Linked DNA regions of Yarrowia lipolytica. Each later gene encodes a partner of the first gene's protein in a complex. Links are inferred from orthologs where the notes say so. Each region holds a gene or a part of one and is shown on either strand. Other genes may lie near its edges.

Evidence for each region. The genes of interacting proteins can lie anywhere in the genome.
Region 2: the proteins of YALI1_D35635g (region 1) and YALI1_B23771g are in contact, whole or in part, in an NMR structure (PDB 2GGP), measured with the Saccharomyces cerevisiae proteins. The link is inferred for Yarrowia lipolytica from reciprocal best matches to the Saccharomyces cerevisiae genes CCC2 and ATX1. Residues at the interface, in NP_010556.1 of Saccharomyces cerevisiae: Cys13, Ala15, Cys16, Thr19, Gln23, Glu60, Asp61, Cys62, Gly63, Phe64, Asp65; in NP_014140.1 of Saccharomyces cerevisiae: Thr14, Cys15, Gly17, Cys18, Ala21, Lys24, Val25, Lys28, Lys59, Lys61, Lys62, Thr63, Gly64, Lys65.

Annotation. Positions count from the first base shown.
Region 1 is NC_090773.1:3,561,857-3,567,666, reverse strand, and holds YALI1_D35635g (uncharacterized protein), read right to left. Parts: upstream 4,200-5,810; coding exon 1,398-4,199; downstream 1-1,397. Other genes in the region: YALI1_D35669g (uncharacterized protein), read right to left, coding at 1-830; YALI1_D35624g (uncharacterized protein), read right to left, coding at 5,017-5,259, 5,304-5,312; YALI1_D35593g (uncharacterized protein), read right to left, coding at 5,574-5,810. UniProt on the Saccharomyces cerevisiae protein: Copper-transporting P-type ATPase necessary for the proper uptake of iron. Required for export of copper from cytosol into extracytosolic compartment.
Region 2 is NC_090771.1:2,374,721-2,379,234, forward strand, and holds YALI1_B23771g (uncharacterized protein), read left to right. Parts: upstream 1-2,352; coding exon 2,353-2,395; intron 2,396-2,862; coding exon 2,863-3,041; downstream 3,042-4,514. Other genes in the region: YALI1_B23744g (uncharacterized protein), read right to left, coding at 1-232; YALI1_B23794g (uncharacterized protein), read right to left, coding at 3,315-4,514. UniProt on the Saccharomyces cerevisiae protein: Copper homeostasis factor that specifically transports copper to the secretory pathway for incorporation into copper enzymes destined for the cell surface or extracellular milieu.

The sequences.
Region 1 (5,810 bases):
TTGTCCGAGAGCCACCGCATGTCTTCCACCTGGGATATGCATTTGTTGGACGAATGTAGACGTACACCCTTGTCCTGGACATGCCAAATGTGAAGATAACCGTCATTTAGGGTTCCCAAAGAGGCCAGAAATGTCCCGCAAGGGGACCATCGCAGGAACCGTACTCCAAAAGAGTGCTGAGTGATCACTGCAACCGGACAACTGGAATCAGAATCCGGTGCTGTGCTGAAAATCGAAATCTTGGGACTGTGCCCGGTTTCTCCCAATGCCAATAGGCGCCCATCTGGTCTGATAGCCACAGCAGTAGCACTCTTGGCGCGTTCTTTCACAGGAGAAGGCATTTTAGGAGGCGAAGCATCCACCGGAGATTCTTCCGACGCTCCCAAATACTGTGTCTGTGATGAAAACCCGTAGCTGTCTCGCGTAGCTGTGATTTGGAACGCTTCAAAAGACGCATTGAGCTGATCTGTGTTCCTCAAACAAAAGTACCGTTGTTTGAGACCCAAAGACGTGCTGTAGTGACCCAGAACTGCGCCTGTACCGGCAGTGTATGCTATGGTCTGTCTCTGGACATCAAAGGTCATGTTGGAAGAGGCGCTCGCTCCAATTGTGTTTGACACGGTCAAAAATGATCTCTCTGTCGCGGGTATTAAATTGCGCTTGGACCCCGCTGGTTTTGTACCATTTGTGGGAGACACGGTGGGTGAGTCGCCAGGGCCGAGAGGCTGAGGCCGACCTGTTTGGTTGGCCGGCCGGTCCAATTGATACGGGCGTAAATCATCAGACATGTCGTTTTCCTCTATGTTATCATGCCATGTTTTGAAGCACATACAGGAGATTGGGTTAGGGTTTGCTTGCCGATCTAATTAAGATCTGCTTTTGGAGAAGGTCACGTGAACTATCCGAGAAGAGAGAGGGAATTAGAGAATTCAAGATGGTGTATCTAGACAATGGCGCTTGGTTCGGTCTCTATACTCGTTTAGGCTTCCTCTGTATTGTTCCAAGCGATAAGTTGTTAGCACCACTACTTGGTACGCTACGCTATGTATAGTATGTATGTACAGTATGCAGTATGTACTTGATTATACTACGAGCACTTGTAGACTACCAAAGTCAGTATAAGAACATAGGAAGTAGGGAATTAAAAACGCTACGAGTACACGCCAATGTACGGCACTTTAACATAGAGCTGCTACAGTGTCGTAGATACGCTACTCAGCCATATTCTTTCCCCATAAACGAGAGATACAACCACCCCTATCAAGGTTAATCTCACATGTGCTGCAGTGCATGCACACCAGAGACGATACAAGAGCACCACCAAGAAGTGCACCATTATACATCGTTATTCATAAAGTCTATAATAATTTACAGCAAACCACAGTTGCCCGGTTTGCCTAGAGCCGCTCGTATCGAACACCCTCGCTTCTCCAGAGCTTCTGCCACCAACGCCGCTTGGGTTTGACCGTCTGGCTCTCCATGTCTCGCCACTCGTCAGAGCCATATTCGGTGTCCTTGGGGGGTTGCCATTTCTTGAGAGCCAGAGAAGAAACAATAACAGACACGGAACTCAGCGCCATGGCTGCAGATGCCTCCATGGGGTGCAGCATAAAGTTGAATGGCAGGAAGCAGCCCATAGCAAAGGGAATCATAATCAGGTTGTACACGGAGGCCCACACGAGGTTGATTTTGATTCGTCGGAAGGTGACCTGCGATAGGTTAATGGAGGCAGGGACGTCCATGAGACTCTCCTTGTTGAGCAGCACAATATCGGCAGCGTCCATGGCGATGTCGGTTCCGGAGGACATTGCAATTCCAATAGCAGCCTTGGCCAGGGCAGGCGAGTCGTTGATACCATCGCCGACCATGGCAACCACAGAGGCATTTAGAGACAGATCTGTGGAGTCAGCAGCTTCGTTGGGGTCCTGGGGCTCCTGCAGCTGTTCGATGATGGCGAGCTTCTGAGCAGGCGAGGTCGATGCCCAGACATTGGATCGGGGGATACCGACCTCATCAGCAACAGCGTGGGCAACGAAGTGGTTGTCTCCGGTCATCATGGCGACGTTGATTCCCATCTTCTTGAGCACAGACACTGCAGCTCGAGCGTCGGACTTGACGCTATCAGCAAAGGCCATGTAACCGACATACTGGCCGTCAACACAAGCATGGATCACAGTAGCAGGGTTGTCAGGGGAGTGAGGGGTGGCGGGGGGCTTATCCAGCGACTTGCAGGACGAGTTGACAAGCTCAGAAGAGCCAACAGCAACACTGTGGCCATCAACTACACCAGTAACACCCTGACCAACAATAGCAACAAAGTCAGCCACACCGGGAACATCCTCAACCTGGGCAGCCTCCTTCGCCTGTCGAACTAGAGACTGGGCAATGGGATGTTCAGACGAAGCCTCCACGCCAGCCAGAATTAGCCACATTTCAGTTTCGGTCATGTTGAGGTTCTTGAGAGTATCCTTCTCAAAGACGTGTTTTTGAATGGTCATTCGGCCGGTGGTGAGTGTACCAGTCTTATCGAAAACAACAGTCTTGATCTTTGAAGCGGTTTCCAAAACTGCTCCGCCCTTTACAAGAATACCATGAGTAGCTCCAACACCAGTTCCGACCATGACCGCTGTGGGAGTGGCAAGACCAAGAGCACAGGGACAAGCAACGACCACGACAGAGATGCACAGACGAAGACAGATGAGGAACTTTCCTTCGGGCAGAGAAAAGACGTTAGGAGGATGCTTCATGACGTTGCTCATGATAATCCAGAAGATGAAGGTAAGCAGGGCAAGAGCAACAACACATGGCACAAAGACTCCGGAAATCTTGTCGGCGTATCGCTGGATCTCGGCCTGAGAGGTCTGGGCCTCCTCAACTAGCCGGACAATGTTGGCAAGGGCAGTATCCTTACCAGCACGCTCGACTCGGAAGTCAATACGCCCAGAGCCGTTAATGGAGCCACCCACAACCTGGTCTCCAACCTTTCGGACCACAGGAGTAGACTCTCCAGTGAGAAGAGACTCATCGATATAAGTTTCACCGGAAACGACGACTCCGTCAGCAGGTACCTTGGCACCAGGCTTGAGAATGACAATATCACCTCTCTGAAGAAGCTCGGCAGCAATATCCATCTCGGCAGACTCGTCGTATACAATACTGGGGTCGTACTTGGAGGAGTCCTTGAGAATAGTGGCAGTGGTAGGAGTCAGGGAAATAAGCTTACTGAGGGCACCCGAGGTCTGTCCCTTGGCTCGGTTTTCCAAGTATTTTCCGAGGGTCGTGAAGGCAATCAGCATTGCCGAAGTCTCAAACAGAGTATGAGGGTGAGTATCGGCCACAGTGGCGATCGCATAGAGCATGGAAAAGACAGAAAAGAAGTAGGCTGAGGAGGTGGAGATGGCCACCAACACGTCCATGGTGGCAGTTCCATGGGACAGAGCTCGTCGCGAAGAGACATAGAACTTGTGGCCCAGCCAGAACTGGATGTATGTTGCCAGCACAAAGCAGACGAGATCGTCCACGTACAGGCCCTTGAAGATGGTTAGATCATGCAGAGGCTGGAGACCAACCATGGGAAGAATATGAGTGAGCAACATCACAGGCAGACCAAGAATGAAACACTGGATACCGTCGCTTCGCCATTTCTGTATCTCCTTGATTCGAGATAAGCTTGCTAGTTGGGTAGCGTTATCTTGCTGTGCAGATAGGACGCCCTCAAAGCCACAGTCTTCAATGGCGTTGATGATGTCTCGAGCTCCACATTCCTGGGGATTGAAAGAAATGGTGGCCTCCTCAGTCGCGAGAGCAACCACGACATTGGCGACGCCTCTAATGTCCTGGATAGTGTCTCGCACTGCGTTGGTACAACTGGAACAGGTCATTCCGAAGATCTTAACCTTGAGACGTTCCATGGGTGTGCTGACGGGCGCAGCTATCGGCGATGAGTCGATGAGCGAGGCGTCGAAGCCGCAGTCCTCTATTCTTTCCTGCAGCTCTTCGGCGGAGATTATGCTCTTGTTGTGGTGTACACTGGCTCGTTCGGTGACCAGAGACACAGCTGCTTCTGTGACACCGGGACATGCCTCCAGGCCGTTGATGATGGCGGAGACGCACGATCCGCATGTCATGCCGCCGACCTGGTAAGCCGAGGTGGTGTCGGGCTTAGGTGGCGTTGTGGAGCTATCACCAGCTTCTTTCATGGTGAGCAAATTATGCACTTTTGGTTTAATCTGAGCGTGTGGAAGAGATGAGCTCTGCTTGGCGGTGCAGATGTCGATGAGCGTTCAATATCAAGATGTGGTTGCAACACTTGTTGATACTGGCGAGCCCTCTGTTTTGGTCAAGTGCTGTGTAATGGCTGTGATGTGATGTGAGGTGAAGAGACAGCTGATAGTTCACTTGGGTTGCTACACGTTGCGGTATTTTCAGTGGAAACTGGTTTTGGACACCTGTCGTATGTGAGTCGCTTGCGCAGCCGGTGTATCGAGTGACCAAGTCGGGCAACTGAGATGTGGAGTGATGATATGAGGGCTGGTGAATTTTGGCTTTGCACTTCTCCAATTGACAAAGTTCACTTGAACCTGCTTGGCCAAAGGTAAAACGGCACGAGCCGAGATGCGTCTTGTCGGGTGTATAGGTGGCGACAGAAAATACCATTAGTGTCAGAGACCCACTACCAGTGGTATGGCTGGTGCTAAAACCCCCCAGACGAGCAGAACCAAATCGTATATACTTACTTCCCCAGTCACACCATGATCATCGCCTCACATTTGTTTTTGTCGGCTCAAATCACCCCACTGAACCCTGCACGTTAAACTCGCACCCGTCAACACAGGCCCTCAAATTGCTCACACGTGCAGTAGTAAAATTCATCTAAGACCGCCCGTATATAGACTCGTCTGTAAACTCCTGGCGCCCACGTTGTGGCAATGTATTTGCGACCCCCAAAATTGCACAAACCAGTGGTTACAGGGACTCTCCACTTTTGCCCCTACTTCCAGGCCTCCTATGTACGGCTTACTTGCCCCCAAACCATGCATACAAATCAGATAAAAAAGTTCTTGAAAAATTTATCTGATCCGGGTCGGAAGAGTGTGAATACAGTAGCGGCCATTTAATGACGTAAGGGAGTGTAGAGGAGACAGGGGAAAAATTAGTGCACTGTATACACAGTATATAATAAACTCCTGCGATTAAAATGATGCTCCACTCGGGGCATAACAATCCGCTATCCACAAACAATGTGTCTCTGACCTGCTCCTCCACCTATGGAAGCACCATCGGAACCCGAAAAAGGTGTACACCAAATACATGAACGATGCAAACCTAACAAAGCCTTTCAGGAGGGAAAAAAATAACGTCAAACTCAGCTGTAGATCCAGATAATATCTTGGCTTTCTAGCGGGAACCATGGTTGGGTCTCACCAGCATTCGTATCGCAGGTCCCGTGACATTCAGGTACGCACAACTTATACATACTACAAGTAGCTACACTTTCACTCTCTTGTCCCCCTCCCCTTCGACGTCACAAACTACGGTGTACAGTACGGATATATTTATGCTTGATTTCCTATTTACTCAGGATTGATGCTTGCTCGTTCCATCTTCAGGGCCTTCATGGCTTTTTGAACGTCATCCTCATCCATGTGCAGGCCCTTGTTGTCCTCAATAGTCTTGTTGATGACTCGCTGCATCTGCGAGGGCGGCTTGACAGGGGAGTGGTCAGAGTCGTTGTCTAGGTCGACGTCATCATCATCGTCGTCATCCTCCTCCAGCGCGTCGCTCTCAGCGTCCACAAACTCCTCATCGTC
Region 2 (4,514 bases), on another chromosome or scaffold:
GGATCTCGGAATTATAGCGCCTTTCAATAGACGTGATTAGACCGACGCTTCCGTATAAGTCCGGTCTATGGCTGCCAAAACGAACCATGGCGGGAGATTTGGACCAAGACCAGTGCTTTGACAGCAGAATGACAGCCCTCGGACATGCAAGAGCAAGTGAGCGACGACGATATAGAACGATATTGGAGCGGCTAAGGTGACTGCCTCCGTGATACGGTACATTCTGTGGCATTCTGTGGCATTCTGTCGGCGTCCAGTCTGTACGGCGTTTGAGCAATACGTGGTCATCTATGCGTCAAGCACGACGAAGAGGACGTCGTCTGCCGAGATGGGAAGGCTTGAGCGAACTCAGTCAGGAATCAGTTCTGATCAACTCCTTGATCAGCTCCCACAAGCTCCTCGACAGCTTCTCGACCGCGACATCCTCCACCAGACCTTCGATGTCCTCGACCACACCCTCAACATCCGGCACCTGCTGATTTTCATATTCTGGAATTGGCCGTTGTCGTCTACCCAGTCTCGCAGTATGTACAGTACTTGTAGTTCTCAAAGGCTCCACTTCTCGTTTTTTGCGCTTTTCATGGCGCCCTTCCCTTTCGGTCACCCCACCAAAAAACAAGCAACCCGGGTTCGATTCCGGCACCCGCAGTCTGGACCGCAACAATAAAGAAAGAAGAAAGAAAGTAAGAAAGAAAGACAAACAAAAAATAAAAAAACAATAAAAAAACAACAAAAAACAACCACCTGGACTTGCATACACGAGGAGCAAGGAGGGCGTATGACCAGGTAAGTATGATAATGAGCTGGTCTAGACGCGCGTACACTCGTAATCTGAAGACAGTGGAGACTGCGTGAGGGGTTCAAGGAATGGGTTTTACAGCAGTGGCATACACTGATGATGGTCAGAACACGATGAAAGCTGCCAGTGACAGAGCCCTGAAAACTGACAACTATCAATATCAGAGAGCTCATGATCATTACACAAAGCTCATCTTCACACAGATCGCGGTCATCGTTCACCGAAACAAACGACAGTCCTCTCCTCTGACCTCATCTCCTCATGCACCTGTGGGCGGCTGAGATGGTCTGACAGGAGAAGTCCGATATCTTAGATTGCGTTCCAAAGTTTCAAATACGGCTTATCGTGGAGGTTCTTTTGAGGTTGTCAAACTGTTGAAACTGTCAAAACTGGAAGATCTACAGATATCATCAGCTACTGTACGTATGTACGAGTATGTAAGTAGGTGGTGTACATACTATAGCTACCTGTTCTGAGAGACAATCTACTAGCACAATCTGTACGAGTACCATTTAAGTACAATATGTACGGTATATACTGTACCTTCAAGTATTATACTATACCATTCAAGTACATACTCGAATGTACAGTACATACTCGAATGTACAGTACATACTACAGTACTACTGTATATACTATTCAAGTGCGACGTTATATATATACTGTAAATACTCCCCGCTCATCTACGATCACGACATAGAACAGTCTCAGTTTCGTACACAGAGCCTCCTCGGACTTCCATGGCTAGAATTGAGCTGACTTACAGTAGTCTTACCGAGCCTTGCTGAGTCGACTCCTGCTTAGCTGACTCTACGAGTCATGTACAGTATGTAGTCTACTACAATACATACTGCCTCTGAGTTACTCCCTGAGTTGGCTACAACATGTACCATACTACTACTTGTAGTACCGTACTCGTGCCGTACCGTATCCATCAACGGTAATTTGATGTAACTATCCTCAGTACAACCTGTGCCACCCGAAACACTTGCTGCGGCTCTCATGAGCTGTTTATGCGGTTGGACGAGGAGGTTTGGGTCTCCCACGTGGATTTCTAGTTGCCAGACTAAAGTTGTTTGTTGAAAGACCCGGTTTGTAGTGAAATATACCGTCAGCCCTGTCATTCAAACAAGGCTTCCGTGCCCCACGAGTCGCTCTCCACCACCACTTGTCGCTTGGCTCCAAGACTTTCAGCCTTTCATTTCAGACTTTCATTTCAGACTTGTGGCACCTAGAGTTGCAGTATCTTCGGCCAATGCCCAGGAGATTGGACTGACATTTATCAGATCTGCAGTAAAAGTAGGAGATGTCACAATTTCGGGTTCTTACGCAACTAAATAGCTCACGAGACATGATTATATGCCCACTCGACCAAGTATTTCCAGCACGGCTCTGTTGGTGTCACGTGAAATCACTCCACCAAAAATGCTCGTCTATGCAGCGTCATGTCCTCCCCAAGGTTAAATTCCGCTGAGCTCTTTTCGCTGCAGACTATATTAACAGAGAGTCGATCTCAACTTGTCCCACCAACTTTGTCAACACACAATCACAAAATGGCCCACGAATACAAGTACGACGTTGCCATGTCCTGTTCCGGTGAGTAGGATTGGAGGTGGTGGAGTTGGTAGTGGTGGAGTTGGTAGTAGTGGAGTTGGTAGTGGTGGAGTTGGTAGTGGTGGAAGTTAGCAGTTGATGACGACGACGATGACGAAGAAGCTCTCAAAAGATGGAGATGGGTCATGGTATGAAGTTCGGTGATAATGTCCATGTCATAATGCTGTTATCAGTCCTGTTTTTGCTCAATGAGTGTTAAGACAGATCAGGAATCATGATGCTCGACCACCGAATCAACCGAAAACTTCGGGATCAATGCTGTTCATGTCCATGAATCTATTCCCTGTGGATTTGATTACGTGGTTGCACTTCATCACGGCTCATGACCACGCCCTTAATGCTGTTTTCAAAAAAGTTCTGGTACTGGTGATTGATCTTACTGGTCTGACGCCACTATGACCTGCCAGTCTACTACTTGTACTCAGTCAACCCATTCTTGGCTAACTCAGGATGCTCCAACGCTGTGAACCGAGTCCTTCAGAAGAAGGAGGGTGTCACCTCTGTCGACATCGACCTTGAGAAGCAGTCTGTGCTCGTCAAGACAGACGACGCCGTCTCCTACGACGACGTTCTCGCCACCATCGCCAAGACCGGCAAGAAGGTCAACGGTGGTCAGGTCATTGCCTAAATGTAACTTATTTAATGAGATGTATGAGATGAAATGAGGTCGTCCGCATGTAATACACAGGAGCAAGCAAATGGACTGAATAGGTCTCCAGTATGAATACGAATACTACACCAATGCTTAAAAATACATATGAATACATACACACCGTCTGAGATTCAGTTGTCAGACGTCTATATATTCCCGCGACTCTTCATCTGTCCTTTTTGCTTGTCCGAGCCGGAAGATACACTTGATTCGGAAGCCTCCACTCTGCCCAGAAGCGTACTGCTTCGTTCAGAATCGATCCTTATCAGCTCCATGGCTACCTTGCAACTTTTCTCCCATCTCAACCAGCTTCAACACCAGCTTTGAATCTCCGTAGACCTCAAAAAAATCCTTGACATCGGCGTCAAACGTGCCGGCCTCAATGCTCCGTCTTACTCCAGCCAGGAACCGATTGTAAATCTCGAGGTTATGCTGTTCGAGAATCACGTGACCCAACATCTCGTGCGCGTCCAACAGATGGTACAAGTATGCTCGGTGATGTGGTGCACTGAGGGCCTGGTTGGAGTCGGCCAGAGGAGAAAAGTCGTTCTTGAACTTGGGGTCCCACAGATTGTGTCCAAACACAGCACCCGGAGTGGCAGGAAAGGTGAAATCAAGAGCGACTCCAGCGTCCGAAAAGGTCTCGACAGAATATCCGCTCAGCAGATCAAAGCCCTGCTGGATGAGCAGAAGCATCTGCTGGGGAGTGTCACACTGTCCAGAGTGGTAGAGAGGCATCGTCTTGCCCATTCCGAGGTTCTTGAGCTCGTCCAAAACAGGCTTGGGGCCCGTCAGATGCTCAGTCTTGACATCCAGAGGGTTTCCATTACCGTCAGTGGGTCCCTGAGCGGCAGCCTTACGAGCTGCACTTTCGGCAGCAGCGGCATCTGTGGGTTTTCGGGTGGAGTCGAATCGACTGAGATCAATGGTCTGATCGGGGTACTCAGAGTGCTCGGCTCGAGTGTGGAATACCAGACCGTTGATCTTATCCTGGTTCTCTACCACTGTCTTAAGATACTCCTTCTGGTGCAAAACGGGAAGAGTAGGCAGAATCGAGGCGTAAATAGGGACCTTGACGTCGGCCACGCACTTTTCCAGCCACCGCTGAGACCGCATCACCATCTTCTTGACCTTATTGGATCCAGGACAGGCTCCCGAGGGACTGAGACCAGATGCATCGGCCGGAGCTACAAACACTTCAGGAGCAACAGCGTTGGCCATGAGAGGAAACTGGTCAATATCAATGTCAACCACACCAACAGACGAGTACATGGACAGCATGTTTCGGCCATTGGGCTTGTTGGGAAGCACGTTGGAAGGTCGTCGGGTTTGCAGGAAGATGTTGACTTCCTCAGGGAGTGAAAAACGGGTTCGGGAGGGCTCATCTCCGACATCTTTCAGAAGCAACGGGGCCTGGGGACGCTCCACAAAGTCTTCAAGTCCCACCGC